5 linked regions of the Ovis aries genome follow. The protein of the gene in region 1 binds, or shares a complex with, the protein of each later gene. Links are inferred from orthologs where the notes say so. Each region holds a gene or a part of one and is shown on either strand. Other genes may lie near its edges.

What was found.
Region 2: the proteins of CASK (region 1) and DLG1 are in contact, whole or in part, in an NMR structure (PDB 1RSO), measured with the Rattus norvegicus proteins. The link is inferred for Ovis aries from reciprocal best matches to the Homo sapiens genes CASK and DLG1. Residues at the interface, in XP_038955489.1 of Rattus norvegicus: Gly339, Ala342, Ala343, Arg345, Ala346, Val347, Gln349, Val350, Ser353, Leu354, Glu356, Ile357, Leu360, Thr361, Asp367, Leu368, Phe370, Leu371, Ser373, Val374, Phe375, Asp377, His379, Leu380, Thr382, Leu383, Leu384, Asp385, Leu386, Tyr387; in NP_036920.2 of Rattus norvegicus: Arg4, Asp7, Thr8, Arg10, Ala11, Leu12, Leu14, Leu15, Tyr18, Lys21, Leu22, Glu26, Asp27, Leu30, Ser33, Ile34, Arg36, Val37, Ser39, Ile40, Phe41, Ser43, Leu45, Phe46, Leu49, Ile50, Gln53, Glu57, Val58, Leu60.
Region 3: CASK (region 1) and LIN7C share a complex: the UniProt entries of both Homo sapiens proteins name them as parts of the brain-specific heterotrimeric complex. The link is inferred for Ovis aries from reciprocal best matches to the Homo sapiens genes CASK and LIN7C.
Region 4: the proteins of CASK (region 1) and LIN7B are in contact, whole or in part, in an NMR structure (PDB 1Y74), measured with the Mus musculus proteins. The link is inferred for Ovis aries from reciprocal best matches to the Homo sapiens genes CASK and LIN7B. Residues at the interface, in NP_001271432.1 of Mus musculus: Ala405, Arg408, Ala409, Glu411, Val412, Glu415, Ile416, Tyr419, Glu421, Asn422, Asp424, Ala425, Glu427, Leu428, Ile431, Leu432, Gln434, Phe437, Ala439, Leu440, Leu441, Thr443, His444, Val447, Ala448; in NP_035828.1 of Mus musculus: Leu10, Asp13, Val14, Arg16, Ala17, Leu20, Leu21, Arg23, Leu24, Ser27, Glu29, Leu30, Pro31, Pro32, Lys34, Leu35, Ala37, Leu38, Val41, Leu42, Ser44, Phe46, Cys47, Ile50, Arg51, Tyr54.
Region 5: CASK (region 1) and LIN7A share a complex: the UniProt entries of both Homo sapiens proteins name them as parts of the brain-specific heterotrimeric complex. The link is inferred for Ovis aries from reciprocal best matches to the Homo sapiens genes CASK and LIN7A.

What each region holds. Positions count from the first base shown.
Region 1 is NC_056080.1:40,718,998-40,724,165, forward strand, and holds part of CASK (peripheral plasma membrane protein CASK), read right to left. Parts: intron 3,571-5,168; coding exon 3,394-3,570; 3' UTR 1-3,393. UniProt on the Homo sapiens protein: Multidomain scaffolding Mg(2+)-independent protein kinase that catalyzes the phosphotransfer from ATP to proteins such as NRXN1, and plays a role in synaptic transmembrane protein anchoring and ion channel trafficking.
Region 2 is NC_056054.1:192,591,745-192,597,958, forward strand, and holds the start of DLG1 (disks large homolog 1), read right to left. Parts: upstream 4,050-6,214; 5' UTR 3,928-4,049; exon of another isoform or gene 3,834-3,927; intron 3,553-3,833; exon of another isoform or gene 3,099-3,552; intron 2,635-3,098; 5' UTR 2,604-2,634; coding exon 2,561-2,603; intron 1,925-2,560; coding exon 1,793-1,924; intron 1-1,792. UniProt on the Homo sapiens protein: Essential multidomain scaffolding protein required for normal development. Recruits channels, receptors and signaling molecules to discrete plasma membrane domains in polarized cells.
Region 3 is NC_056068.1:56,974,151-56,980,440, forward strand, and holds the start of LIN7C (protein lin-7 homolog C), read right to left. Parts: upstream 3,925-6,290; 5' UTR 3,900-3,924; coding exon 3,863-3,899; intron 748-3,862; coding exon 629-747; intron 373-628; coding exon 301-372; intron 1-300. UniProt on the Homo sapiens protein: Plays a role in establishing and maintaining the asymmetric distribution of channels and receptors at the plasma membrane of polarized cells.
Region 4 is NC_056067.1:55,364,557-55,370,903, reverse strand, and holds LIN7B (protein lin-7 homolog B), read right to left. Parts: upstream 3,826-6,347; 5' UTR 3,789-3,825; coding exon 3,752-3,788; intron 3,330-3,751; coding exon 3,211-3,329; intron 2,925-3,210; coding exon 2,853-2,924; intron 2,128-2,852; coding exon 1,918-2,127; intron 816-1,917; coding exon 652-815; exon of another isoform or gene 586-651; intron 306-585; coding exon 284-305; 3' UTR 203-283; downstream 1-202. UniProt on the Homo sapiens protein: Plays a role in establishing and maintaining the asymmetric distribution of channels and receptors at the plasma membrane of polarized cells.
Region 5 is NC_056056.1:116,991,487-116,997,695, reverse strand, and holds the start of LIN7A (protein lin-7 homolog A), read left to right. Parts: upstream 1-2,156; 5' UTR 2,157-2,462; coding exon 2,463-2,544; intron 2,545-6,209. UniProt on the Homo sapiens protein: Plays a role in establishing and maintaining the asymmetric distribution of channels and receptors at the plasma membrane of polarized cells.

The sequences.
Region 1 (5,168 bases):
TGCCCTCAAGTGACTGACCTGAAATGAAGAAAAGGACATCAGGGGGAGACAAGAGCGGTTGCTTTGGGTTGCCTGTCCTTTAAGGGCAGTGTCCACGCCGGACATTTCCACTGCTCAGTGTCCCCAGGGGTGGCTCAACTGATTATACTTTTTCCAGGAATGAACTCAAAACTTATTGAACAGATTAACTACAAGTGATTTAAAAACAAACCAAAAAACCCCTCTATAATCATGAGATCAAAGTCTTAAAAAATAATCATAGCATGGAGTCCAGGCCCAGTGGGCTGGCCCCATCAGTGGGATATGGACTGGGCCCTGGAGAAGAAGGAGCATATGCTGGTCCTTCGTGCGGTAAGGGCTTTGTAGCATCTTTGGATACCTCGCTGCCAACGGGACGGGCTCATAAGATGCCTTCTGAATGCAAATTGCCAAGAAGTAGGTCACCCATTTCTGTTCCTCTCTGAGCAAATATTTTAAACCATCTCACCTAACAGGAGATACACTTAATTGCTTTTTAAAAGGCTACCATATTATCTCAACACTGGGATGCTTCCTGAATTAAACTGAGTGACATTTTCCTTTTTAGTGTTAAAATTGAACATGCTGCCTGGGCAAAGTAATTACTGTTTTATGATTAGAAAATCAGGACATTCTTTTTAACAGCTGATTTGACATATTAACCCCTACCCCCCTTTCTTGCTGTAAGGAATAGGACTGGAAAGAGAGCCCTCAGAATATGGCTGAATTGACCAGTGTTAAGATTTAATAATCTAATCATCTGCTCTGTTCTTTGAAAGGAAAAAAATGATTTTGTGGATGGAACGGAAACAGTAAAGCGGCTTTTGAGCAATTTTCTAATTGCTCAGTGGACAACTGAAATGGAGTGGCAGCAGCAGTGTACTGTAATTACTCTGGATTCAGAAATTTAAGTCTTTTCTGCTAGGTCACAAAGACACTGCTTTAGGATAGTCGTATATTAGCAGAAGGGAACAGATGACCTCTTTGAGAAGTCAGAATGAGTTCTGGGTGCAGGAATTTTGCCACCTGCACAATGGTGAGAATGCCACCAGCCTGTGTGCTTCTCAGCCCCGGGGCCACAGACTACGCTGGCATTGCTTTTCTCTTCCTCTGCCTGACCTGCCTTTACCAGCGTGGTGGGTGGCTCGACAGGCATCGTCAAGCATCCCCGGAGACCTGGTCTCAGAGGGCAAGTGGGCCATGGGGGTTCCTACCAGAGGGAGGGAGCGAGCTTCATTTCTCAGGTGTCAGTTGCATTCTTCTTTGTGCTTCATTGGAAAAGAGGTAGCGCGGGCACGCTCACACTGAGAAGAGCCCCATTGTGACCAATACCATCCTGGGAATGACTGGCTGGCCTTGGCGGCGCTTAGATGGCAGTCAGTCCCATCACAGCCCCAAACAGCTCTCCGGGTTTCTCCCTCCATCCAGGGTGTCTCTGGTTTAGTGGTTTGGTCACCCTGAGATGGGACCCCAATGGCAGCAGTTTACTTAGCAGTTTGTAAGCTGTATACTCATCGGGTCACCGACAAAGGACAACATCGGCAGAAAACCCAGCACTGTTCGGTAAGAGTAGGGGGAGGGGAGGGTGACACCCTCAAAAGAGTATACAAAGGCCTTCTCTGTGTGGTTCTTCAAGAGGAGCTGTTCCGCTCAGAACACATCCAGCATGTCCTGCCGAGGCACAAAGCAATGAGGCCATCTAACCTACAAGAAGGAAACTCGATGGTATTTTTTTCAAGGATCTCAGGTTAATAGAACCACTGACACTCGAATGGAAAAACCTGCCACTGACCTCTGGCAAAAAGCAAGAAAACTGCCAGCCTGACTCACCTGTATTGGAAGAATGTGACCTCACAGAAGGGTGATGGGATGGTTAATGTCTCTAATGCAACAAGGACATGATTATCCTGTGCCAACGGATATAGCAAGAGGAAGGAGAAACCACATGTTGCCTCCAGCACTTGAGTGGCCCTCGGGTGCACTGTGTTCTGGGAGCCAGACGAGGTCCCAGCTGTGCTCTGGCAGAGTATTTTGTTGTCCTGCCAACTGATAGTCATTCCTAGGCCTTCGATGGTTCAATGAGCATCTAAAGGATTATAAAATCTAAAAGGTCATCACCTTGTAAACCTGAACAAATCTATGATGAAATGAAGGACCCAAAGGCATTTAATTATTGAACACATAAAAGGAAGTATATTTAAAAAAAATTGGTCAAACTGTCCTGTTATCATTTTAAAGGAATTTACAGGGCTATTATAGATTATTATTCTTTTGGAATAATTCAGTTTATAGCAAATGCCTAAACTGGTTTCTTCATTGCACAGTATATTCTCTTAAAACGGGTGCTTTAAAACAATTACATACATATTAAAAATCCTCATTTCTTTGCTTAATTAAAATGTTAATACTCTCAGACAACACAGATCTGAAATGGTGAAACCAGCAATTCCCCCCCCACCTTACAACAAATTAAATTGAGACAAAATTACAAACACATTTCACTACATGGTTATTATTAATAAAAATCAGTTTCTTTTGTTTGTTTGTTTTTTTTATAAAGTTGCCCGAAATGCAAGGGATGTGCATAGGTTTACAACTTAGTCATAATAGCATTTTATTCTTATTCCCCTGGGTGTGCCCCGTGAACGGAATGTACTTTGTTGTAGATTACAGATTGTTTTGTCCAACACAGACACACCGACAGCATAAACGCTCGCGACTGTCCACATGCATTAAGAGTCAAGACCCAACTTCAAATCTCTAAAAGGTTTACAGGGTGCTTCAAAGAGACAGTATCACATTATCTGGATGTTACATAAAGGACTTAAAAAAAATACTATTCTAAAAAAAAAGAGGAAAAAAAGGCCTTTAAAAATTTATGAGTTTTGTAATCACTAGACTGATTATTTCAAATAAATAAAGGAAAGAAAGATATTCCAATCCATAAAATCAGACTCTAAAAAGAATGTAGTGTTCCAACCCCAGTCAAGGTAACAGAATCATTGTTTATTATTATTAAAATAGATTATAGAAAGCAGCATCTATTTTGTGCAGTTTTTAGGGGCCTTGGAAATAAAAAGCTATGATTTCCAAAAATATAACATTCCAAAGGATTGAATAATACATACATTTAAAGATACATTTTATTAAAGTTTAGGAGAACTGATTAAAAAAGATACTGTCTCTTTAAATTAGTGTGTAATTGTTTTTCTCCTCCTATCTATTCGGACATGACAATAATTATAAATGTAGGTCACACTACAACTAGGTAGTCTCTAGGGACCACGACCTGCTGACACAAGGCCGATAACAAAGAGGCTTTTCCATGTATGAGGTGGCTCCCAGTTATGCGGCAGATATCTGGGGGAGGGGGGCCTAATAGACCCAGGAGACGGGGACCCACTGCGGGGCTGTGCACACGTGCTCCACGGCTTCCTCCAAATGTCTGATTGTCTCGTCGATTTCATTGTTGATAATTGTGAGATCGAAGTAGTGTGCGTATGTTCTCTGTAAGATGTCCGACTCCTTCTGCAGACGCTGAAGAGATTCATCCTAAATGGTGAGGGGATGGAGGAAGGGGTGGGCAAGGGAGGAGGGAGAAGCAAAGATGAGAGAGAAGTCAACCAAGATGGTTTTCTCGGGCTACATTTCTGTCTGTCCCGGTGTCAGAAACAGTCGAGGCCCGCCCGTGATGGGACATATCTGAGTGTGAGGCTGAGGCCGCTTCGTGACAGAGGAGACGATGGCCCCCAGGATGGCAGGGGCACAGAACGATGGCTTACAACCGTGACTGCTCACCATGCAACAGGGCCTCTGTGCCACCCTGGATGGACCAGGACACGACACTCCTCAGCAAACACGCGACTCTGCTCTGGCTGAACTGTGCCTGTCTGGAGTCAGCTGAGGCTGACTATCAGAGTCGAGCTGTTCTGTGCTCATCCCCCTGACCCAGGCCTGCCTCATCTCGAACCACTCTCCTGTTTGGCAGGGTGGAGGGGGCTTTGGGGGCGGGGGTGAGGTCAGAGCTCTGCATCCCCTTTCCTTGGTCCTCTGCTCTCGCTTGCACTGAGCCCCGGAGCCCAGCTGTGTTTGCCCCAAGAAGCCCCTGCCTCTGGACAATAAATGAAGTTGAATTTTTCTGCCATGTTCCCGGAATTCAATTACATATATAATGCATTGCCTTCACTCACTAGCAGTGGATATGCCAGAGGCAAAAGCTTTTTGGATGTTACCAGTAATGGATGAAATGAGGCCATATCCCAGATACAAAAGCAACTGACACCCGATGAATCCCTTCAAGGTGGTCTGTGTTGGAAATGGCCAAACATCACTGTTTGTAGGTCCTAATATATCTTATGGAAAAAAACTCTGAAGGAGAAGCAGCTACTCAACTCTTTGCTGCAGTAAAGACTTTCCCTAAACTTCTACCGTGAGCCCCAGAAAGCCTCAGGATGGGAGCTCTTTGAAGATGAGGATCTCTTAAGGGCCACCAGAAAGTCTGCCTCTGCATCTTCATGGCGCAGATCTGGTTATACTGAGCTTTTAATGGGGAAGTTCAAGTTTGAAACCAGGATTCTCTGTAAGTCAAATTAACTGATTAGGTAGGTGAGCTGTTGGGTGGACTCTGAAATATATATCTATCAATAGATACAATTCATTGCTTGTTTGTTTGATTAGTATCTCTCTCCCCAACTACAGCACAAACTTGCCCTGCTGTACCCAGCACTTGGCATTGTGCCTCATACATAGTAAGTGCTTAACAAACCTTACCAAAAGAGCAAGCACTTGGCTGGTTAACACTGGCTGTGATAGGATGTGAGGAGTGTTCTACTAGGAAATGGGGGCCCACGATGACAGACCCATCTCCGAAAGGTGTGGTGCCATCATTTGGGAGCTGTTGGCACTCACTGCAGGCTTAGGACCCCTCTTCTTTTCCCTGAGGCCCACCTGTTTATAAGAGACTCTTCCTGGGGGAACCTTGGTGTGTGGTGCAACCCTTTGACAAGGGGAGTCGAGGTAAGATAGTAACACTCGATTCCATCACAGCACTGCAGTGGGGATGACAGACACCAGACAAGCTGGGAAATGAATCTTTCAGAGTGTCCTGATAGGGACACTCTGAAATGAGAGTGTCCTAACCTGTTTTGTCA
Region 2 (6,214 bases), on another chromosome or scaffold:
TTTACTTGTTTCAAAATTCCTAAAATGTATTACTTTCCTCACACCAAAATCTGATACTATATTCTATATGACCTTAAAATATAAGTAAACCTAAACAGCAAAGCTTAAATTCACAACCAATAAAATTACACAGGACAAAGAAGATTGACAAGTATAAGTTACAATTACAAAACTAACTCTATCAGAATTCAATTATGCATAAGAATAAACACATTCAAAATAGGGGAGGCAGAATATATCCAAAAAAAAAAAAAAATCCCCATCAACATTGCAAATCTACTTCCCATCTCAATCTAAGTGTTGGTTCTGGTTGACTACTTCACTAATCATTTTCTTAAGTCATGGACTCCACACAGAGAACTTCATCTATCTATGAATTACATATAAAATAAGACATACAAGTCATACTACTTTTTCCTAAATGGTGAGCCTACTAAATAAAACATTCCTAGGTTTAATGGTGATTTAGAAAATAACTAAAAATGATTTTCCCTTCCTTTGTTGTTTTTTCAGACGAATCCAATTGATCCATTTGGACCTTAAACCCCAGAACTTAGAAATTCAAATGTAATAAATGTCCAAAAACAAAATAAGCAAAATACTGGTCATTTTTAAACATGAGTGACAGACATATAATAGTTCATTATACTGTTCTCTCTGTTGTCGTGTATGTTTTCAAAAGTTTATAATAATGCTAAATTATATTTAAGTGTATTGAGTGATCTTCTTTAACGTTTTCTTTAATTCTAAAACTGATTTAGTAGAGTATCAATTTACCAATAAGCTATTTGATAGAATACATTAATTTGAAAGTAGGATAAGATACATTAACCTCAAATCACATCAAAAGTTACTCCATCGATACACAGATATAAGGCTGTAACTACTGAGGAAAAAAATGTAATGCAATGAAATGTTTTATTTTAATATGTTATATAGTCATTGATTAATAAAAATGCATTTTATTCTTGAAATTGAAAGGGACAATTTTTCTAGTTCAGTGGTTTGTAAACTTTTCAAGGTACCTAGAGAAGAGGCCCAGAACAGATCATCTTGTTTTATATACCGGGAATTGTGTACAAAATATAAGCTTTTGCTTTAAAAAAGAATCTAGCTACTTTTTAGGAAAAAGGTTAAAAGCCACTGTTCCACTGCATCCACATGCTACAGCTAATGTAGGGACCTAGAAAAGATTATATGATTTATACCATCTCATCCAATCAATAGCACTATCAGGAGTAGAACTCAGCACCCTTGTTCAGTTCTCCTTTAAAACAATGAACCACATCAAATTTAAGTTAGAGTTAAGAATATTCAATATTTTTATCTGTAAAACAAGATTAGACCAAGATTATCTGTAAGATCATTTTTCAAGTTTAAAACTGTAATTCTACAAATGCCAAGTTTAAACAGAGGTCTATATTAAGAGAATGAATGTTCTTAAACACAGAACTTTTCAAACATTTTCAGAGATTCCAGAGAAATAACAAAACCAACAAAGAAACAAGCTAACAGTTATTCAGTCATTACTTTTTGCAACCTCTTCATTTTTTAATGCTTTGTTATCAAAGACCACTGAAATAATCATACTGAAAGTTTTTTTGGTTATTAGATATTTCTGGAAAAGATATTGGTCTAAGTATCAAAATACACAATTCACTGGATGTTCAAGTAACTGCATGCCTCACAGAGAGCCAAGTCTATCACTCTCTTAAGTTTAAAATAAGTGAATTCAGAGAAGCCTTAAGCCCAGCTGACACACAATGGTCACAAATAAAGTTTTAATTCCCACCTATTAAAGCCTGAAAGAGGTTGCTCTGGAATATGTTAATAACCCGTTCTATGGAACTTCTGAGCTGTCTGTCTTCTGTTTGGCTTAGTTTCGAACGATAATCTTCCAAAAGGTGCAGTGCTCTCTGGGTATCTGAAAAGAAAAAAAAAGTTTGATTAAAATTATATACTTACAAGGAAGTATTACAAACTAGCTATGCAGCAAAATACTCTGCAAGATAACCTAAACAATTCTCCAAACCTCCAAGTCGATCCATGCTACTATGTTCCTGTACATATAGTCCTTAGAAATGAAATAATCCAAAAACTGTTCATTATGTCACAATAAAACAAGGTGAGTAGTTTGTAACCAATGTGTTCTAGTGATCATTTAACCAGTAACATAGTTTCAGTTGATCTGATATACAAACACTGATTACTACAATCCATCATTATAATTCAAATATTCTTTCAAAACTAGTAGTTCTTAGCTAGTATTCCACATTCGTTCACGAAAGGGTTTACTAAGAATGATTTAAATGAAATATTAAAACGCCAACACAAACTTTTAAAAAAGACATTTCTGAGGGAAAAAAGTTAATTGCCTCTCCAGTCACTACAGAGATGTCAAGGGAAAAAAGTTTGACAAACACTTAGGTGTTTCCATCTTCTGAATGATTGAGGCTTAGATTCCGTAAGTAATAAGGCTAAGGCTGGGCTGTCTCATCAGTTACACAAACATCTGTAAAACATAGCAAGCACAAAACAGAAAAAAGCAAGGGATACCCACAAGAGTTCCGAAGTAAACTCTCACCTTGCTTCCGGACCGGCATTTTTCTCCAGAATCAGGAAGAGAGCACACACCTTAGAACACAAAACAGAAAGGAAACAGAACTGAATTCAGAAAAGAACAGAATCGAGGTTAACCTAGCATTTACCTCTAACTCTCAAATCGAAAAACTCCTAGCCCTATTTGAAAAGTCCACCTGGCAAAGTTTTCCCAAGTCAAAGGAGAAAGAGCCTCAAAACCCAGCAGTGTCAATGTAGAAAGCTTTAACCTAAGGTTGGGTTCCCCTGCAAATTAAGAGCAGACAGGAGCAAGCTGCCAAACTCTCCTCGAAAGCTGCCCCTTCTCCAAAGGGAGCTTAATGCTAGACGTGGGGCCACCCCTCCCCCGGCATAAGAAAGCATACCCCCCACCTGCTACTGGGGGGTGAAGAGGCGCTCCGACCCTTGGCCCCTAAACCAGCAGAGACTGTAAAGCAGTCCGAGAAGGAACCAACTGGATTGATCACCCCGCCCTGCTCGGGCCCCCTCCTCTCGCTTGCCTGATTCCTTGTTGGCTTCCTCCGAGCTACTCCAGCGAGGGCCGGACAGGACAGCGGCCGCTCTCCGACGCCCTCGTGCCCCACATGCACACCTCCGCGGGCCCCCACACCTGCGGCGCCGCCACAAAGTTCCTGCGAGTGGCGTGCGCCCGGAGCTGGGGTGCGCCCCGGCCCGTCTCCCCCGCCCTGCCCCGCTCCACGTCCCCCCGCCCCACCCGGGGCTTGCGGAGCTGTGCAGAGGGGGGTGAGGGAACGGGGGAGGAGCTCCCCTCGGCGGCTGCACCCCCGTTGCCTCTTCCTCCGCCTCAGCCGCCGGCGCCTCCTCACTCGCCGGTACCCGCTAGCCCGCTCGCCTTCTCAGCTCTTAGCCGCCACACCCCCGGAACCTCGCCTCCTTCCGCGCCCCCAACCGCTCTCCCCCCAAACTTTCCGCCAAGATGGCGGCCCTTGATCTGGATTGCCGCGCCCCCACGTGACCGCTTTCCCAGCGCTCTCAGCCAATGGGAAGTGAGGAGGCGGCTCGCGCCGAGCCCCGGGCTCTCAGCGCTGCAACCTTTGGGTTCGAAGAGGGAGGAGGGCCAGGAGGGGGCTGGGGACGGCAGAAGGGGACCTGAGGAACGTCGAAGTGAACCTCCTTGCGTAAAGGCGCGGCCACCGAAGTGGTTCTGAGAACAAAGGAGTTGACGCACAGACTCTACAGGTGGGCCAGGGCGCCCTGGAAGAGCCCGCCTTTACCTCGTCCTAGCCCACCGGTGTGTCCCGCGGCTCTGAGCGAGTAGCGCACCAGGCGAGGAAGAGTGACAGTGTCGGAAGAGAAATGTGACCTCACCTACACCAGATCCAGGACACACATTCCGAGACACCCTTTAACCTCACTAAATGCGTGTCGTTTCCAACTCTGCCGGAGAGATCCACCCCGGGGGTGGATCCCCAACCTGGAAAAGCATTCTCAGGGAGGTGTCGACTGCACCACCCACGATAGGGGGCGGGAAAGGGCGGGGCCTGGGAGGGGGAAAAGGGAGGTGTTTGCGAGGGGGAGGGGTGCCGTCTCTGCATTCTTACACTTGGTGCTAATTTTTTCAAGTTACTGTTAGCCCCTCAGTAAAAGTTTTGGAGGAACTGAGTTAAAGAAGGGTAGGTAAAATATGGAGATTAGTTAATCTGATAAGAAATTGAAGGTTTTGCCAGAGAATTTTTTAAATCTAAGTGATTAATTCCAAGTATGAATGCATTTAAGGAAGGGAATAGAAAATTGGTTCGTTCGTTTTCTCATTCATTCTCCCTTGCCTGCAACTCCCTCCAAGTCAACAGCTTCACGTATTACCCAAGCTCTGGCGGCCCCTTTAAGAACTCACCTGTAGCTACCGCTGAAGCTCAGCAAAACTAGTTTAAAGCTAGTTTACGTAGTCCCTAGGAGAAGGAAATGGCAACCCACTCCAGTGTTCTTGCCTGGAGAATCCCAGGGACGGGGGAGCCTGGTAGGCTGCCGTCTATGGGGTCACACAGAGTCGGACACGACTGAAGTGACTTAGCAGCAGCAGCAGCAGGAAAGGGACTACTAGCCGGCTGGGACCCCGCTTCGGGGCTGAGCCTCCCAGGATCTGGAAAAGGAATTGGGCAAAGATGTCCAAATCATTTCCACATCTTCGACCCTCTTCTGTGTACCAGCAACCTCCATGCTCTGATCCAGAGAGAAGAATTTGCCTAAGATCACCCAATTCAGTTCAGTCGCTCAGTCGTGTCCAGTTGTTTGCGACCCCATGGACTGCAGCACGCCCGGCCTCCCTGTCATCACCAACTCCTGGAGCTTACTCAAACTCATGTCCATTGAGTTGGTGATGCCATCCAACCATCTCATCTTCTGTCGTCCCCTTCTCCTCGCGCCTTCAATCTTTCCCAGTATCAGGGTCTTTTCCAATGAGCCAGGTCTTCCCATCAGGTGGCCAAAGTTTGGAGTTTCAGCATCAGTACTTCCAATGAATATTCATGACTGATTTCCTTTAGGATTGACTGGTTGGATCTCCTTGCAGTCCAAGGGACTCTCAAGAGTCTTCTCCAACACCACAGTTCAAAAGCATCAATTCTTCTGCGCTCAGCTTTCTTATAGCCCAACTTTCACATCCATACATGACTACTGGAAGAACTATAGCTTTGACTAGACAGACCTTTGTTGGCAAAGTAATGTCTCTACTTTTTAATATGCTGCCTAGGTTGGTCATAACTTTTCTTCCAAGGAGCAAGCGTCTTTTCATGGCTGCAGTCATGATGTGCAGTGATTCCTTACAAATAGCTGTGAAGAGAAGAGAAAGACAAAGGAGAAAAGGAAAGATATACCGATCTGAATGAAGAGTTCCAAAGACTAGCAAGGAGAGATAAGAAACCCTTCCTCAGTGATCAATGCAAAGAAGTAGAGGAAAACAATAGAATGGAAAAGACTAGAGATCTCTTCAAGAAAATTAGAGATACCAAGGGAACATTTCATGCAAAGATGGGCTCAATAAAGGACAGAAATGGTATGGACCTAACAGAAGCAGAAGATATTAAGAAGAGGTTGCAAGTATACACAGAAGAACTGTACAAAAAGATCTTCATGACCCAGATAATCACGATGGTGTGATCACTCATCTAGAACCAGACATCCTGGAATGCGAAGTCCAGTGGACCTTAGGAAGCATCACTCTGAGCAACGCTAGTGGAGGTGATGGAATTCTGTTGAGCTATTTCAGGATCACCCAGAGTAAGTGACAAAACTGGAACCACAGAGATCATGTCTGTCAAAACTAGAAGGTTTTTCCCAGTAAACCAGATAGCCTTTCACTGAGGCAATATCCTTGGGCTAATAAAGAGAAGTCCAAGGAACCTTGTACTGTAATCATAACAGTTGCTCAGAGGTATACAGATTTCACTTCTGGATTGCATCTTGGAATCCTAACTTGTTATGAGAACCCAATGACTTAAAAGCTCATCTAGACTTACTATCTCAGTTTAAGATAAACTGAGGTCCAAGGGGGGTTCATGTTTGGGAATGCATGTAAGAATTAAAGATTTTAAAATTTAAAAAATATTAAAAAAAAAAAAATAAGATAAACTGAGGTCCAGAGAGGGGAAGCAACTTG
Region 3 (6,290 bases), on another chromosome or scaffold:
CCCACTCCACTGTTCTTCCCTGGAGAACCCCAGGGACAGGGGAGCCTGGTGGGCTGCCGTCTATGGGGTCGCACTGAGTCAGACACGACTGAAGCGACTTAGCAGTAGCAGCAGACTGCATAAAATGTGTTTGTAAAGCCAATTAAAAAATCCTACTTTTCAGTAATCGAGTTTAGTGTAACTTGAAAGGTACTATTTGTTAGTTTTTAAAATAAGTCTATTATGAAACTAATAACGTCACATTTTAAACCTCTAATTTGTGATGAATCCTCTCACTTTCAGTAAATGAAAAAAATGTACCTTTGCAGTTGCATTAGCTCTCACTTCAGGACTGCTACTGATGTCCACAGTCTCGTAGACATGTTCATATACCTGCAAAACCCAAAGTTATCACTGTGATTTTAAATCTCAAAATATAACAAGCTTGAGTTCTTTTTAAAGTTAACAAATGTGTCAAAATTTCAGAAAAAGTTATGCATCTTTGTACCATGTTTTTCTGTTAGAAATTCCAAAAATGAGAGGAGTGGGTTCTAAAGTTAACTTTAAGAAACTACAAACCCAAATTTCAGAATGTTATCTTACCCTAAATAACGCAAGTTCATAGTCAATTTTAATCACATTTACTTACCTCTCTTACAGCATTGCAGAATTCACTCTGAAGGACTCTTTGTAGAGCCTGAAGTTTCTGTGGTGGTACCTCTCCACTTCTTTGCAGTTTTTCCAACAATTCAATTGCTCTACAAATATCTAGAGTTAAACAAACACACACTGATAGATAATTTTCTCTAAATGCCTCTGTAACAGTGCAGCATTTAGGATTTATTCCTCAATGGCTAACTAGAAATATAAGAACACAGAGGAAAAAAAAGCCTAAGAGTATGAACTTGTGTGTGGGGGGGTTCATGTATGGAGGGTGGGAATGTAAAGACTGAGAAGAATGTTAAATTTTACAGCAGACTAGGAAGAAAAACTGAGGTTGAACATGCATAAAATCTGAAAAACCGTATCTTTAAGAGACATAGGAAAACAAATATAAAGTCCTAAAGGTCACAAGAAAGAAATGGAGCTCAAATGTCACAGACACATGAACACTGAAGTACTTCAGAAAAGATGACAGCATTATCAGAAGCTACTTAGTCAATAAAAATTCACCTACCATCAGTAGTAACCAAAGTGCTGAGCAGTATAAAATGCTGTGTGCTAATGAAGTCACTATTTCCCAAAAGAACACTGAATATATATGTACACACAAAAACTCTTCAATAACATGTGCAGTTAGTTACTGGCAGGAACACAATTTAAAACAACAATACAAATGAGTAAAATTAACTGGTCTGCTTTCGACTTAGGATCATCACACAGTGTTTTAATTAGGACAAGCTCAGTAAAATACATGTTTACAAAACACAAAGCAATTAGTTTATAAGTATGGTATCAGTAACAGCTGGGTGATCTTGGGCAAGTAACTTAAACTCCCTGTGTCTGTTTTCCACTATAAAATAGAAATAACAGTATATCTCCTTTATAAGAATTACATGACCAATGAAACAAAAAAACATGGTAAGGGCCTGGCATGTGGCAAGCATAAATGTTATGTTACATTAGCACCAATTAATAAGAAACATTAAGATGTTCTATACTTTTATAGAAATGTATTAAGCCTGTTAGGCAGTTCTCATTGTGAAGCGTCAGGAAAAAGTGTTTTACAAATTAAGAAACTTTTACAAGATTCAGTCATGTTTCATACTATTTCTCCCCTCATTTCTTTTTTTAACAGTTTTTGTACCACAGGGGGCTAGAGTACTTATTATTCTAAAGTTCCTTCCCTCCTTTTGTCTTAAGTGGAAGAAATTCCAAATCTTCTATTATACTAAAGGATTGGAACTTTTCTCTTTATAGAATCAGTATGGCTGTCTTTGTTTGCAACTGGAAAATTGAAAATAAATGTAGTGAAGAAAGAAGTACATTTTTCAATTTCAGGTAATAGAAGCTTAAACTGATGTTAATCCAATGCAGGGGGAAAAAACTTTCCCTATTCTCATCTCCCACCATCAGAATAGCTGGTGAATCAGGAGTGCTGGTTCATCAAATATTCTGACCTACAAAATTATAATAAACAAGCTATATGAAAATTTCCAACTAACAAAAAATTGAAAAAGTATAAATATTGTTTACTGAACCTAAACTGTACCCAGTATGTTCTCAAATGTGTTCCACTAAATCTTGTTTTAATGTCTTTGAAGGCATTCAGGATCTTGATCATATGAACTAATTTTATACTATAGGATTGCTGGGAGAGTTTCTTAATAGAATCTGTTAAACAGAATGCTAAGTAAGAATCAGAGTGGATGTAATCTTTCTTATCCTGCTAAATGGCATCCACTAATAGCTTATCCTCAGGTTCTGAGCACTCTTACTGCAGAACTGAAATGAACTCTGAAACAGGAAAAAACAAAAAGCCAGGACTACCAAAAGTAAATGCCAGAGGTGAAGCCTCACATTTTGTACTGCACTTAACAATACAAAAGACTGCCAACATGTTAGAATTCTACAACTAGTTTTCAAAGAAAAACACCTACTCCAGTTAACACCAAACAAATCTGTTCCCATCTGCAAAGCACAGTGTCATTGTGCTTGGAAGAACATGTCACAGGCTTAGGCCTAACTTAGCGAATCTTCCCAGAGTAAGCTGCTACTCTGTCAAAATGATACTTTAATTAATGGTCTGGTGGGCTGGAGGAAAACATTACTTGTAAAGAGGCTTACAAATAGTGAATACCACAAGGAATAAATAATGTTAAATGGGTCTGTGTAAAGATATGAGGAAAGACTCCAAAATTCAACTCTAAAAATGTATCCCTTTTTAGAGCAGAAGCTACTTAAATAGTCGGACTGTAAATGCAAATGTTAATATTTAAAGAGACTGTCAATCTCCATCTTATACTTTGTTTACTACTAGTACTCGAAATGTCTAGTTTTACTTTCTGACTCTTACTGATGACTTCTAATACAGGTGTGTCAAAAGTATACTTGAAATTATATGAAATAAAGAATTTGGGGAATAGTGGAATGCTAAAAAACTGCAACAGTACGTTTTTAGGCTCATAGTCTTTTACTTCACTGGCTTTTCGGTTTTTAATTACTTAGCAGAACAGGTTTTATTTTCCTTTTTGCTCTAAAAAGCAAGCAATCAACCAGTTAGCAATCGTAGGATCTGTAATGAAGAACGCTGCTGCACTTTAACGTAATTTACAATCACTATTCCTTCCAGTCATGCAACCTTCTTTCCAGAACCACAGCAGGATTTTTATAAAGCACCTTCTCCGTACCTGGGAGAGACACCACAGGCAGGAAATATCCCCAATACGTATACAAGCGAGGTTGTGGTGGCATTTGTGCATAAATGAGAGGGGGTTTGGTGGGAACGCGCTGCGTGTCCCGGCTGGGTGAGTGAAGACGCAAACACTGTGTATGGAAGCGTCAATACGGGCAAGGCGTGTAGTCTGTCCGAACTGGGCGTGAGTCTGTCCGAACTGCTCAGCTTGACACGTCTCTGAACGCAAAGCAGGCCGTGCCCACCCAGGGAGAGCGTGTACAGCGTGTATCTGCGAATGCAGACAAGTGGTGGTGAACTATGCTGTGCTCCGGAATAGTCCATGTGAAGACAGAAGGGGTCTCAGGAGCAGTCAAGAGCGTCAAGCCCCCTCCCCAGGCCCGGCGCATCGACATCGGTGGCCACAGGCGCCAGCGCGAGGGAAAGCCTGGTTCGGGGTCTCGGAGCTTGGCCCACTCGCCCCCTTGGACGACAAGGCACTCCCCTACCTCCTCCGCCCACGTCCGTCCCAGGGTCGGCCCCACTCACCCCTCTCCAGCCGCACGGGTTCCCCCAGGGCCGCCATCTTCTCCCTCTGCCTGCAGACCCACAGGAAGTGACGACAGAGGGGCTGCGGTGGAGGGGCGGGGCCTAGCGGAGCCGGGAGCAGGTATCGCGAGAGCGGGAGAGGTGGGTCTGGGCCTCGTCGAGTCTTCTTGAGGTAGAGAGTGTGTGGGTAGTGGGCTTCCGAGGCCAGTCTTGTGCTGCACTTCAGCAGTCTTAAGATTTAGAAATCCCTCGGCCAAGTATAGTTGAAAAGAGTCTGTTTCCCGACTCTTGCCCCATTCCTGGGGATTCGAGCCATATTCTTTTTCCTTGGAGCCCTTCGTTTCATAAGGTAGAGTTTAGACTCTAGTTCCAGCTTGACTGTTTGGGGCTCTGTGAACTTGGAGTGCTCACATCGTTTTTTTTGCCTCAGTTTATCCATCTGTCCTACGTAGAAGTTGTGTCTGAGTTCTTAACATTCTTAAGCAATGAAACTGGGTGGTGGTTAGTTGCTCAGTCCTGTTCAACTGTTTGCAATTCCATGGACGGTAGACCACCAGGCTCCTCTGTCTATGGGATTCCAGTCAAGAATACTGAAGTGGGTTGCCATTTCTTTCTCCAGGGGATCTCCTCGACCCAGGGATGGAACCTGCAGCTTCCTGCATTGGCAGTTGGATTCTTTATCACTGAGTCACCAGGGAAGCCTCTAAAATGATGTATTAGGAATCAAGTAATATTTTTAATACATTACAGATTCTTAGGGCCACTTTTGAAATTTTCTTAAACCAAGAAAGCTTTAGTCCTTAAGTGAAATATTAATTTGCCCAGTATTTAGAGTCCAGTAACATTTATTCAAGTGCTAGTCTATGCTGATAATCAGTTGGGTGCTTTTACAAACAGCTTTTCAACAGTTCATGACAGGATTGTTTTAACAACTTCCTAGTTGCCCCCATCCACTGTTTGCATTCAACATATTTTCTTCTAGTCCATCATGAATGCCACCATCATACTTTTTGTTTTCCCCTTGAAAATTTTCAGTGGCTTCTACCTTTGTTTCCTGTTTCTAAAGTTGTGTGTGTGCTCATTCATGTCCAACTCTTTTCGGGCCCATGGACTGTAGCCTGCCAGGCTTCTCTGTCCCTGGAATTTTCCAGGCAAGAATACTGGGACAAGTTGCCATTTCCTACTCCAGGGGATCCTCGGGACCCAGTAATCAAACCCATGTCTCTTGTGTATCTTGCATTGGAGGCAGATTCTTTACTACTGCACTGCTTGGGAAGCCCAAAGCTTTGTGTACTATGAGCCTAACACATCTGTCTAACCTAATTTCTCTTTATCCCTCAAATGGAGTAGACACTCCAGTAGAGGAGGAATATTCAAAACCATGTTTCTTCTTGTTTCCAAGTCTTCATTTGTGTTTTCTTAAATGGATCACCCTTCCCCATCTCCTCTGGCTCTCTAGGCTATATACATCCTCAGACTGAACCCATCCTCCAGGGCTGTGAAGACATATCACTTCTACTAAGCTTCCCTTTTCCATCCTCTTCTCCTTATTGGTCCCTAATGGCCCTTATAGCCTGCAAAAGCATTCATGTATTTATTTTTTATTTATTGTTATTATTTGTCACAGATGTTCAACAAATGTTTATTAAATGCTTAATGTCTATCAGACACCTTGCTAGGCACTAAGAATGCTATGTGGAGAAAGACAAGTGCAGACATTCAAAGATTTTCTTTTCTTCCATCCTCCAACTCCTCTCCTTTGATAACTCTATTTACATGTATATTCCCATGCCTGACATTGTTTGCAGCTCACCAATACTCTGTTCATTTCAGCTTTTCAGGATTTCTGTTTCCCTTTTTCAACATAAAATATTCTCTTAATCCCATCTAGTTCATTTTTCCTCTCAGATATTTGTCTATTTTATCTTCAGCAGTTTGATTTAGGGGTGTGTGTGTGTGTGTGTGTGTGTGTGTGTTTGCATTTTCCATGTACTCACTTAACATGTTCAGTATTTCCTCTAGCTTCTTGAACATATAGAGTAAAATTATAATGACAGTTTTAATGTCTTTATCTACTAAGTCTGTCATCTGTGCTATTTCTATTGATTTTTCTCTTAATTATGGCTTATGCATGCATACTAAGTTGCTTCAGTTGTGTCCAGCTCTTCATGGTCCTGTTGACCATAGCCTTCTGTCCATGAGATTCTCCAGACAAGATTACTGGAGTGGGTTGCCATGCCCTCCTCCAGGGATCTTCCTGACTCAGGGATTGAACCCTCATCTGTTGCATCTCCTGCATTGGCAGGCAGATTCTTTTTCCACTAGCCAAACCTAGGAAGCCCATAATTTCTTGCCTCTTGCATGATTGGTAACTCACTAAATAAGTAAGGCTAAACATTGTGAAATTTACATTTGGGGGAGCTAGATA
Region 4 (6,347 bases), on another chromosome or scaffold:
CGCTCAGACCCAGATCAGGTCCCAGCCTCCATCCTGGACTTATGGTTGGGAAACCGGCCAGCCTCTGTCTTCGGACCTGGCGAAAAGTCTCAAGTTCCGCTCTCAGACCCTGAAAAGGGTCTGGTCTCGACCTCAGCTTCTCTCCCTCCCACATCTCCAGACACTCCAACCCGTGGATGCAGGACAGACACAGACACTCAAGGAGGGTCAAAGATCTTTAAATAAGGAGTTGGTGACAATAAATACTGTACAGGGGAGGGGGTGAGAGTCCAGATCTGTGGTTTCAGCCTCGAGACTCCAAGGACCTAAAAGGAGGGTGAAGAGAGGGGAGCCAAGCTCAGCGGAGAAGACAGTGGTAGGCATGGGAGAGAGAGCCAGGATTGGGGTTCCAGAGCCAAGACCCCAGGGAAGTGGGTTGAGGGATTCCAGAGAGAGCAGGTTCCCCATCTTGGGGTGGAAGTAAGCTAAGTAGGGGCCCCCAAGGTAGTCAGAATGGTTTGGGGTGAGAGTCGGGGTCAAGGGTCAGAATCCCAGAGAAAGGAGCCAGGGCTAGGGGTGGCAATCAGTGTCTCAGAAATTACCGGCCTGGTCTGGGAGTCTGGGGATGAGGGAGGCAGAGGAGCCCCAGGGGTGTGGTGGCAAAGGGCTCACGAGTAGCTCTGATGTTGCTGGCGCCGCCGGGCGGAGCGCATCTTCTCAAAGCGGGCTTCCATCTCCTCCAGCACTCGGGGTGTGTAGCGTACCACCAGCTTCACTGAGCCCTGGGCAGCCTTCAGAAGCTCCACTGCCTTCTCATGCTGCTCACCCTCAACGCTCTGCAGGGACCGTTCAGACAGTTCACCTTTATCCCCTTCCCCTCTGGCAAAGCCTGACGACCCCCAATCCACCCCTCCTGCCCTGTTTTTTGTCCCCACCACCTGGCCCCAGCTCAGACCTCATCCTCGGTGTTCCAGCCCCCAGTCCCTTATTCCCCAGAGTCCCAAGGGGGGTCTTTATATACCTCCAGGCTGAGCAGCCTTCCATTGCTCACAGTCCTCCCAGGCTGACCCCAACCACCTATCTAGCTCTGCCTCCTTCTATTCTAACCATAGTGGTTTTAATTATCTGCATGCCCTAGTCCATCAGAACCAAGTCCTTTCTCTTCAGCTCACAGGATTGCAGAGCCACAGTCCCTGCCTACAGTACCTTCAACCTAACATTCTTCTCCACCAACTCCTACTCATCCTTCAAAACCCAACTCAAGGAGACTTCCCTGGTGGCCCAGTGGCTAAGACTCTGTGCTCCCAATGGAGGGAGCCCAGGTTCACTCCCGGGTCAGAGAACTAGATCCCACATGCTGCAACCAAGACCTAGAGCAGCCAAAAACAAAAAACAACAAACTCAAATGTTCCTTAATCTCCAAAAACTTCCCTCATCTACACTGGTCTGGTGCCACATCTGGGCTTTCACAGTGCTCTGTGCTTCCTCATTATCTCCCTGGTTTAGGATTATTTCAGCCAGGGTCTATCTCCCTCACCAGAGAGGGTGTCCTTGGAGGTAGCAGCAGAGGCCAGTTACTCTCAGCATGTGTGCAAGGTAAGTTGCTTCAGTCGTGTCCAACTCTGCAACCCTATGGACTGTAGCCTGCCAGGCTCCTCTGTCCATGGGATTCTTCAGGCAAGAATACTGGAGTTCTTTCCATTTCCTTCTCCAGGGGATCTTCCTGACCCAAGGATCAAACCCAAGTCTCCTGCATTGGCAGGCAGATTCTTTACCACTGAGCCACCTGGGAAGCCCCCTAGTTACTCTCAGGGTCTGCAGCAAAGCCCAGAACAGGGTGAGACACAGAGGCAGCGTTCAGTGTGTTGAGTGAATATGAAAAACAGGGACTCTGCTACCTTGGGCAGACTATGACCCCTGCCTCAGCCCCCAACTCACCACACCATTCACTGACAGCAGCTGGTCCCCACGCTTCAGGCCTCCGTGGCGGTCAGCCACACCCCCAGGGATGACACGGGAGATGTAGATAGGCGAATTCTGCTCCTTGCCCCCCATGATGTTGAAGCCCAGGCCCTCGTCCGTCTTGGGCAGTTCCACTACCCTGGGATGTGCATGGCCCTCACTGGCTGTGAAGGCGGCCACCGTGGCCTGGGAAAGAGAAAGCCTTGGGAGGTGAGGACCCCCCACAATGGGCATACGCATTCAGGTAGAGGCTAGGCCCCCGCCCAGGAGAGGGATTCGGCCAGGGAGCTCTTCTCAAGAATGGGGCACCTGCCATACAAGTCAACACAAGATCACTCTGTAGTGACAGGATGTCCATTTTCGTCACTTTGGACACTTCAGACTGTCAAAGAGAAAGCCTCCATTTGCTGTGTGTGTCTTGAATCTCATTTTTTTTGCCAATCTCACTTTTTTACAGAGAGAAACAAAGGCCTGAGAGAATCTCGAGCCTCGTGCAAGCAAACAGCATCTAACCGTGATTTAGTAAGATTTCAGTGTTTAACCCAACTTCATTGTTTTCATCGTGTAAAGGTTTAAACTTATCTTCTGGTCAGGCATTTCATACTAGTTTCTAATTGTACTTGCTAATTGCCTGGAGAATTCCATGCACAGAGGAGCCCGGTGGGTCACAAAGAGTCGAACACGACTCAGTGACTAAAACTTTCACTTTTCACTTTCAAAGATACCTTTATATGACATTGAAGCTACAAATGTGAGATTATTCAAAATATATTATAAATACTAGTAGAGGTGATAGACAGATATGGCAAAAATCATGAAGGAGGAAACAGGAATGACTGGCTTTAGGAAGACGCTGAGCTGGACCATGCGATTCAGTGGATACCATGAGCCATGGGGTGGGGGGAGCCTACCTTGGCCGTGGCGTGGGCCCGGATCTCAGCACTGCCGGTGATGTCCAGCGTGTCGTAGAGCTGCTCATACACCTGGTGAGGACGCAGCCCTGCCTCAGGGAGCCGCCAGCCCAGCTCCTCAACGCAGGCGTCCAGGCCCGCAGACCCTCCCACCCAAGGGTCCGCTCCGCCCCCGCAACTCCGAAGCCGCGGAAACTACAACTCCCGAAGAACCCCTGGGCTGAAGCGCGGGCACCACCCCCCAACCCCCAGGAGCGCCGCCCCGGTCGCTGCCGGGAGGCGTAGTCCCTCGGCTCGGGGCGACCAGGAGGAGAACTACGGCCGCCCGCCCCGTGCCTCGGAGCCGCGGTGCTCTCACCTCCCGGATGGCAGAGCAGAAGCGGCTCTGCAGGACTCGCTGGAGGGCCTGCAGCTTCTGCGGGGGCAGCTCCCCGCTGCGCTGGAGCCGCTCGAGGAGCTCCACTGCCCGGGACACTTCTGCGGGGCGGGGGCGGGGCGCACAGACACACACTCAGAGACGCGAAGACGCAGAGAACCCGGAGAGACTGCGTCCAGAGACCAAGTCAGGGCGAACGCAGACCCGGGAAAGAACAGCCGCGTCCCGGCCGGACACCCGCAGAGTCGCCGCGGGTGGCAGAGGAGAGACTGCGGCCAGCCGGGCGCCCTGCGTGCCCGGGATCCCCACAGACACCCACGCAGAGGTGTGCGTGCAGCGGGCGCCCCCTCCCCGGCCCGCTCGCCCACGGACCCTCCCACACCCCCCGACGGCCGGACTCTCGGCGCCCCGCCCCGCCCACCCCCGCCGGGCCCGCCCACCCGCCGGGGTCTTGCCCGGGGAGGGGCGGGAGACTGGGATGCAGACCCGCGGCCGGGTGGGCAGGGCCGCGGGGCGCGCTTACCCCGCTCCAGCCCCAGCGGCTCCACCAGCGCAGCCATGTCCGCGCCGCCTCTGCGAGGAACCCGCCTGCCGGTCGCCGGCGAGGAGGGCGGGGCTGCTCGAGGCCACGCCCCGGCGACGAGCGCCCCCTGCGGAAGCGGGGCCCGGCGAGCGCGAGCCTGCCCACCCGTCTCGAGTCGTGTCTCGCTGCCCTGCCCTCAGACCCCATCCAGGTGTTGGGTTAGTGACCCCTCCTATTGCAGCTTCTGTCTGCACCACCTTCCATCTCATCTGTCTGTCCTGCCCGCCTCACCTGTCTGTCTCCTTTCTGTCCGTTTTTTCCACATTCATTGTGGAAAGATTGAAGTCAGGAGAAGAGGGGACGACGGAGGATGAGATGGTTGGACGGCATCATAGACTCAATGGACATGAGTTTGAGTGAACTCTGGGAGTTGGTGATGGACAGGGAGGCCTGGCGTGCTGCGGTCCATGGGGTCGCACAGAGTCAAACACGAACTGAGCGACTGAACTGAACCATGTCACACATTGGGCCCAAGATCATGGATACAGTGGTGAGCAGGGCAACTAAGCCCAGTGCCCTCCTAGAGCTTATTCTATGACGCGGGTGGTGGTGGAGACGAGTAGACAGATATGAGAGTAGGGAGGTGACGATCTAGGAGAGACACTGGTGGAAAGTCCTTGGAGGTAAGACCTTCATGAGGTGCGGCGTGGGTCACTTTCCAGGCAGAAAGAGCCCCCATGGCAGGATAGCAGAGTAAGGACTGGAGTGGTTTGTGAGGAAGGCGGAAAGGTTGACAGGACATAACTGATGCACCGCCTTGTGTGTTGGCTTATTCATGTTGAGGATTTTGGACTTCATGGTAACTCCCGAGGGTAAAATGCAGTAATCACATGTGTATGTTAAGATCACCGTGGACACTGTGTGGAGACTGGATTGGATGGGAGCAAAACTGGGATCAGGGGTACCGATCAGGAGGTCATCCTTGTAATCCTGTGATGAGCAGAGGCGTGGAGGGTATGTGGACAGATCTGGAGATGTTTGGATGTGTCTTGATTGTATATGAGACCTGAGAGGTGGAGGAGAAGGGGCTATTAAGGTGTGTGTGGGGCCTTTTGCTAAGATGGTCTATGCTGGTGACAGGACAGTGGATATTTTGACTTTGAGGAGCCTGTGCAGTAAACCAGGCCTGCAAGCAGTTCTGAGGCCAAGGTGGTAAACAACACCAGGAGAGTGGACAAGAATGCTAGAGAGAAGAGAATATAGAATGAAGGGGACTGAGGACTGAGTCCTCAAAACTCCTATTGTATAAAAGTCGGGAAGAAGACAAAGAATGGCCAGAAAGGTAGGAGGAAAACTCAGCTGGGAGAACCACAAAAACAGTGTTTCTGAAAATGGAAGTGAGCAGTGGTATCAGATGCTCTAGAGTCAGAGACCTGTAGATGCAGGCGAGGCTGGAGAAGCCTGGCTGTTGTTCAACCATCAACTGACACAGAAAGTACATCCTCAGTTAACCTCACCATTAGTGGGATGGAATCCAGAATGGGGTTTTTGCAAAGTGAGAGGACTAGAGCAGGTTTGTTTGCCCTCTTGCCATCATAGTATGTTTCTCTTTTCATTTTAACAACAACAACAAAGAAAAGAACATAGTTATGGACTTTAAAACAAAATGAAATAATACAGGAGGATAAATATTTTTTGTCCATTTTAATTTTTTCCCAAATGTTTTATTTTGTATTGGGGTATAGCTGATTAATAATGTCATGGTCAGGTGAACAGCAAAGGGACTCAGCCATACACACACATGTATCCATTCTCCCCCAAGCCGCCCCCCCCAATCCAAGGTGGTGCATAACTTTGAGCCAAGTTCCATGTGCTGTACAGTAGGTCCTTGTTGGTTATCCATTTTAAATAGAGCAGTACATGACCTAGAAGGATGAATATTGAAAAGCACCAGCCCCGTGGGACTTTTCTGGTGGTCCAGTGGTTAAGACTCTGCACTTCTAAAGCAAAGAGTATGGGTTTGATCCTTGGTCAGGGAACGAAGATCCCACGCGCCATGTGTGGAGGCCAAGAAAATTAAAAAATACAAACAAAACAACCCACACACACACACAGAACAGAAAGCACCAGCCTCCATCCCCGTCCTAATTCTCCTCACTGCAAGAGGCAATGAGGTGTAGATGTTTCGCCTGCTAGTGGCTTGTGTAGCTAAGTAACATATCATTTCTCGATTTTTCAATTTTAGATGTTAGCAATATATTTCATATTGATTTTCTGCTCTTACAACCTTTCCCCTCTCTTCCCATGGTAGTTTTATGGTACCAGTTTTTAGGTCAGTCAATAAAAGGCTCACATTATGTCTAAGTATTCGATACTTACTGTTTGCTGTATGAGCTCGAGTATTATCCTGTGATTACATTTCCTTTCTTGAACAGCTTCCATTTTTTACCCTGTAATGTCTATCTACTTTTGTTTCTTTCATCACATTCTTAATTTCTTTCAAACTCTGCATCACAACACATACTTTATTGACTCTTTTTATCCTGAAGCTTCTTGTAAACATTAATCCTCTGACTCCAATCCGGACCAAGAAACT
Region 5 (6,209 bases), on another chromosome or scaffold:
TATGTCAAATAGAAATTCACAAATATTATTGGAGAGATAGTAGCTACTCATCCTTCATAACAGATAATAAATTATTTACCATTCATTTTCTACACCTGTGCAGACATAAGCTAAAAGCATTGAATTTGCCACTACTAGAAACAATAATTAAAATGTCCAACTCTTTGCAAAGATATGCGGTGATTTGTTCTTCCTCTTACTTTCTCTTTCAATCCTTAAAAGAACTCTCCAGAATGGTAAATTTTCAATTAGGGAGCTCAAAGCCTAAGTCCAGAAACTTGTTATTAAATATCTGGTGCTGAGAATACATCAGGAAACCAAAAGACAAAAAGCCAACTTTCTTGGACTTCACAGTCTGGGATTTGCGTTGAAATGGCTTTTAGAATTAGGAATCAAGCCACTCAAATACATATTCATGATACCATATGTTTTTAAGAACTACTCAACTGGCCAAAGGATCTGTATATTCTTTTTACCCTAAATGATTGAATGAGGTTTGATATTTTGTGCAAAACCCTGGCACATACTCTGTTGCTATTGTCCGCGATTCAACTTCTTTCTATTGTTTGATTTAGGGGATGTGAATAATGATAATCAGCCATAATTGTTGTTTCTTCTCTCTCTCCCAGTATATCCTTTCCATGGTGCTTAGAGTACTTACTGCTCTCATTTTTGCCCAGAGCTTACTCATATTCTCACAGCGTGCTCATTATTTGTCTCCCAACTTGTACTGAGCACTGTCTAGAAAAAGGGCCATGGCTTATTCATCTTTGTTTGGCTAGCACCTAGCAGAGTGCTTGCCATACAGTTCAGGTGGAATGTGTGTCTGTTGTATGCATATATTTGTATATATTTTACTGTTTTCAAAGCACATACATGTGCATGATCTCATCAGACCCTCACAAAACTCAGTAAGCTTGCAGGCAAGAATTAATTTCTTCATTTTAAAGAATCTCAGTAAGCTTGAAGATTAAAAGTGTCCTTGTTTGACAGATGAAGAAACTGGGGATCAGTGAGAGATTATGTGGTTTCTGGAGAGCATATAACTAAGACTTGAATTTCAAGATCAGGGTTCTTCCTAGACACTAAATGAAAATATAAGTACGCTATTATAAGCAAGAACTATTATTTTAGGTATGTCTTTAAGGTCTGTTAGGGTTTGACCAATCATCTTTGACTTTCTCAAATCACTTGTGAAATCTTCTTTGTTCAAACATAAACCATGAGATGGGAAAGGTCTTCAAAAACCATCCATATTGTATTCAGAAGACAATGATGTAGATTATGTGCAAATATTTTGCTGTAAAACAGTGTCTGTCTTCAGGAGTATACTGCTAGCCAAAACAATTCTGCTCTGTCATGAAGACAGGGAAGGAGGCAGCTTTGTCATTTCCAATCCTGAACTCATAGTCATCACCATTCTGCTTACATAAGATATCTATATCTTAGTTTCTTGATCAAAATGAGAGTCCCTATGTGGCAAGACAGTGAAAGCAATCTGTTAGGGTGAAGGGGTCACAACTAATATTTGAAAGTTCTGGTCACTGAATCTTGATTGAGTGACTCTAAAGTCACCCTTTTACAAACATCCTCTCTCACTAGATCGCTGGCTACTGGAAGGCAGGAACTGTACTGAATCCCCCAAGTCAGGCGATGGCCTAGTTCAATTCCTGTCAAATATGTTAATTAACCAGCAAGTGGCAACTCTGAGTAACCACTGGCTATAGAACAACCTGGAAAGGTGCTGGGTACGTGTCTTTCAAACTTTGTGATAGAAACTTCTCTTTGTGATTTTTAATTTAAAACCATTTTAAAGAAGTTGTAAAATAAGTTATTTTTTAGGCAATGTACTCAGGTCCTTAATGGAGATCAAATGGCGATGGAACCCTGGCTTTAAGTCAGTTATCTTGTGTACCGTTAAGAGTCAACATTCCAAAATAAAGTTTAACAGAAATTAACAGCAATCACAATTAAAACCCAGCATTTCTGAATTAGAAGCATTTTCTCTCTAGGGGATGGGATTACATGCCCTCGGTTACAACTAGAGGATTGGCAAACTCTCTTAATCAGGGGGGGGAAAAAAAAAAAAACCATCTCTCTGCCTCCCTCCCCTCTATTCTCCTTTCCCCCAAACGGTCGTACGTTGTGACCGTTTTATTCGAGTGGAAAGTTGAAAGAAAGCAACACACTAGCTACACCCTACCGGCGCTCCTCGGGTGGAACAGCAAAGTTCCTTCCCAGAGCCAGCCAGGCATTCGCTCTCCGATACCTGCTCAGCTTCACGCCGCATCTGAAGGTCTGCCCGCCGCGGAACAGTTGCGTCTCCATCTGGCTGCCAACCCACCCAGGCTCTCTTCTCCTCCACCACCACCAGCACCTTCCCTCCTCCCCCTCCTTTCCGTCTTCCCTCACCACCCCCGCCCCCAATCTCCTCCTCTTTTTCTCACTACAAGCGGTTGCTGATGCTGAAGCCGAGCGTCACTTCGGCTCCCACGGCAGACATGGCGACGTTGACAGTGGTCCAGCCGCTCACTCTGGACAGAGGTAAGGGAGCGGCTCGCCCTCCAGGCCGCTGCGGCCCCCGCCAGCCTCCTCCTCTGGCGCCGCCAACTCCCACCCGGACCGCCAGGCAGCGCTCGGGCAGGGGGAGCAGGGCAGCGAGGACGAGCGGAGAGGGCTTTCGCGCCGAGAGCAGGACACTTTCTTCCCCTTTCTCCGCCCGCCACGTCCCCGCTGCCCCTTCGCGCTACCGTCGCCCGGCCCAGGGGTGCCTCTGCGGGGCTCTCGCAGCCCACGCCGACCCTCTCAGCCCCTCGGTGGCTCGCCTCCCGGCCGCCGGCTTTGTTGGAGCGGAGGCGCGGGGGGACCGCTAGGCGCTCGCCCGGGGCTCGAGGTTGGAGAGGGGCAGGGAGGAAAGCTCGCATTGCCGGGCGAGGGCGCCTGCAGCCGGAGCCCCGGGAAGCCTGCAGAGGGAGCCGCCTGGCAGCCTGCGCGGCTGGGGGCCCAGGACGAAGGAAGTTTGTCTCGACGCCGGGGGGCGAGGGTCGGTCCGGCTGCCGACACCCCGGCAGCCTCCCGAGAGCGGGCCAGGCGTACCCCCGGGCGGCCGGTGCCGGGGCGTACGGCGGCTGGGCTGCGGCGGCTGGAGCTGCCCTCCGTGGAAAGGGCGAAGCGAAGCGCGGCAGCGGGGCCGGGCCGGGGGCGCAGCATCGAGGCAGCCGCGCCCCGCTCTCCCGGCTTCGCGCTCGGAAGGCGGCGGGGGTCGCGTCTGCCCTCGCCGGGGGCGGCCCTCCAGCCGTGGCAACTCACAGTTTCTCCTGCCCCAGCCAGCCTTGTTCTCTCCCAGCCCGGTGCCACGGCGACACCCGGGCTGCGGAAGGCGCTGGGACATAGCGCAGGCTGGGTTGCAATTCAACTTCTGACCTGCGACCCTGTGCGTCCTGCTTTCTGACTTGACTGGGAAAGCAGCGTTTGCTTCCTTTCTAGGACTTCCCCAAGCCCAAGGATGGAATCCTTCGCTGCGATCGCGGCCTCTCCCGCACACGGGTGCTGGGTCATACCTGTCCTTGCGTGTTCGACTTTTCTTTCTGGCTTTCCGACGTCCACTTCTGAATGCTCCGGAGTCCCACGACTCTGCTGCGGAGGACACCTGCTCGTCCCGGTCCGCAGCGTCCGGATTTAGGACCCTGTGCGGCCATTTGGAAATGGTGTGCTCAGATGAAAATGATTCAGTCCGATGTGCCTCTAAAAATATTCTTTCTGGAGGATTAAACCGGACTGTGGGGCAAGGGAAAAGAGCATCGTGCTGCAAGTACAGTGAAAAAGCCAGTGCAAAGTTAGGGAGGTTTTTTAATTTGGAGAGATTGTGGGGTGACTAATGCAATCTGTTGGCGCCAGAAGAAATGTTATGTGGTGCCCATAGCAACCTTACTCGGGGTATGAGTTGAAAGACAAAAAATAATTGATTTTATGTTGGGAAATGTTGGTTTGCCAGCTAGTAAATTAATAATATAGTTAAGGAGTTCAGAAATCCATTGTATAATCCATGATTTCTCCCCAGTATCATCATCTCCACTAAGCAGGATAAATCCATTGCCTCTAAGAACCTAACAGATGGCAAGCTAGTAGAAATTATGGACTCCCAAGTATTTCTGTTTTAATGTAATGAGATCTTATATTGTCCCATTCCTATATCACCGTCTTTAAACATCCCAAGTAAAACGACTACATTAGGAAAAAAAAAAAAAAAAAAGCAAGCAAACTCCAAGAAAATTGCATAACTGAGCAATTTTATATACTACCACTACTAAAAACATTTCACTCTGAAGGGCTTACCTGAAATGCCTGATCAATTGTGGAGAGGAAGTGCAATCAGATGAAGATCTGTTCTGAAAGTTTGTTCTTGTTCACAGCCAGACTGTACCTGTCCTTCCCAGCTGTGATTCAGTAGCTCAAGAGGCAAGTTGGGTGAGACTGAATGTATCTGAATAAACTCACCAGCAGCTTACTTTGAGGTCTTGTCATTTATGGATGGTGGATTATTGACATCATTACTGTGTATGAAGTCAATACGTATCCGTAATTTCCCCTCTAAGTTGTTAAAATATAGTAATTTGTTAATTATATCATAAAATTGATGAAATAAACTGATGAGAAATTTCCTACAAAAGGTAAAAAAAAATCTCTGAAAAGATAGTACTTATCTGGTTCCTGGGCGTAACTCTGATACTTACTTTGGAGGAGTTGGTCAGCCTCTTTGGGGAGCAGTTTTCCTTTTTGGCACACAAGGAGTTTGGAGTGAACGATTCAGACGATGTGCAAATCTAAGAGCCTCGAATTCGGTGAATTAAAATTGGGACTCAGTTTCTGGTCGCCTACTGGAGGATTTCACAGATGACTTCCTCGCCCACCTCTTCCGGGTGTTCTTTGACGTGCTCTGAGGGCACCCACTACTTTGGCCTCATCGAAGCATTTCTCAAACTGTTGCATCTATCTCGTTTCGAACGGAACTCCCTGAGGGAAGGCACCATTTCTAAATTCATCTCTGTATTCTCAAAGCCTTCCATAGTCCCTGATCACAGTAGAAAATTTTTTAAAAAAAGTGTACGTGAATGAAAGGATTGCAACAACTTAAGCACTGTTAAAATACCGGGGTTTCATAGCGGACAGAAAAGTACAGCTCATAGATTCACAACATTTTAACCCTGGGAAGAAAGGCAGGGAACACAGGCCAATGATTCTTAAGCTTTCTTTCCTCCCGTGCTCTTGACAGATTTCCATCAGCAACCATAGCTCGCTGAGCTGTGATTATTGAGCAAGGAGGGTCATGGCAGGTGGGCGAAGGAGAGAAAGAGAAGAGGACGCCTTATAAAGCCCCCTTCCCAGGCATCTTATCAAGCAAACCTGAACACATATGTGTATTCTGCAGGTTCTTTTCTAGCATCTTCATTTTTCAAGTGAAAAACAGGAAAAGGAGCAACGATAAGAGATGTTTTCAAGGTTACTCTGCTAGTCAGTGGGAGATTTTATGCTAAAATCTAACATTTTTTGTTTGATGCCCTTTGGCATTATCCATGGATTCATCTGGAATCTTTAGGGCAGCAATTTTAAGCAATCAGATCACAGCTAGAGCTTGAAATTAAGATGGAACACCCCCAGAATTCCAAAGATATCATCTGAAAGTAAAGCTCAGTAGTCTGTGCTAGCTTCATGGATCTTGTCCAGGAAGCAAGCCTTTGCCAGAACCTGGTTGGCCCCTGAAAGGGCAGACAGGGTGGCTTCACATTTTCACTGCTCTGTATATCCTAAACTCTTTTCCTTCTGCAACTAAGACCTCAGATTAACTCTGTGGGGGCCTCTTGGTGGCTTTGGTCATAAGAAGTTCCTGTTCCCCCTTGTCCCTGTCCTTAGGATTACTTATTGAGTGCTTACAGCAAATCAGACCCTACTGTGGGATTGCTGCATATTGGTGAGCTAAACAGACTACCGCATGGTCTTCATGGTCGTTAGAATCTAAGCAGGGAAAGAGATTTAACACACACACACATGCTCATGTAAATCATTCATTCATTCATTGAATAAATATTCATTTATCACCTTCTGTATACAAGATGTTACAGGAATGCCAGAGACAAAGTTTCTGCTTCTATGGTCCTTAAGAATCTAGTCACGGAAACATAAGTAAGAAATTCATTCATTCCACAACTAAG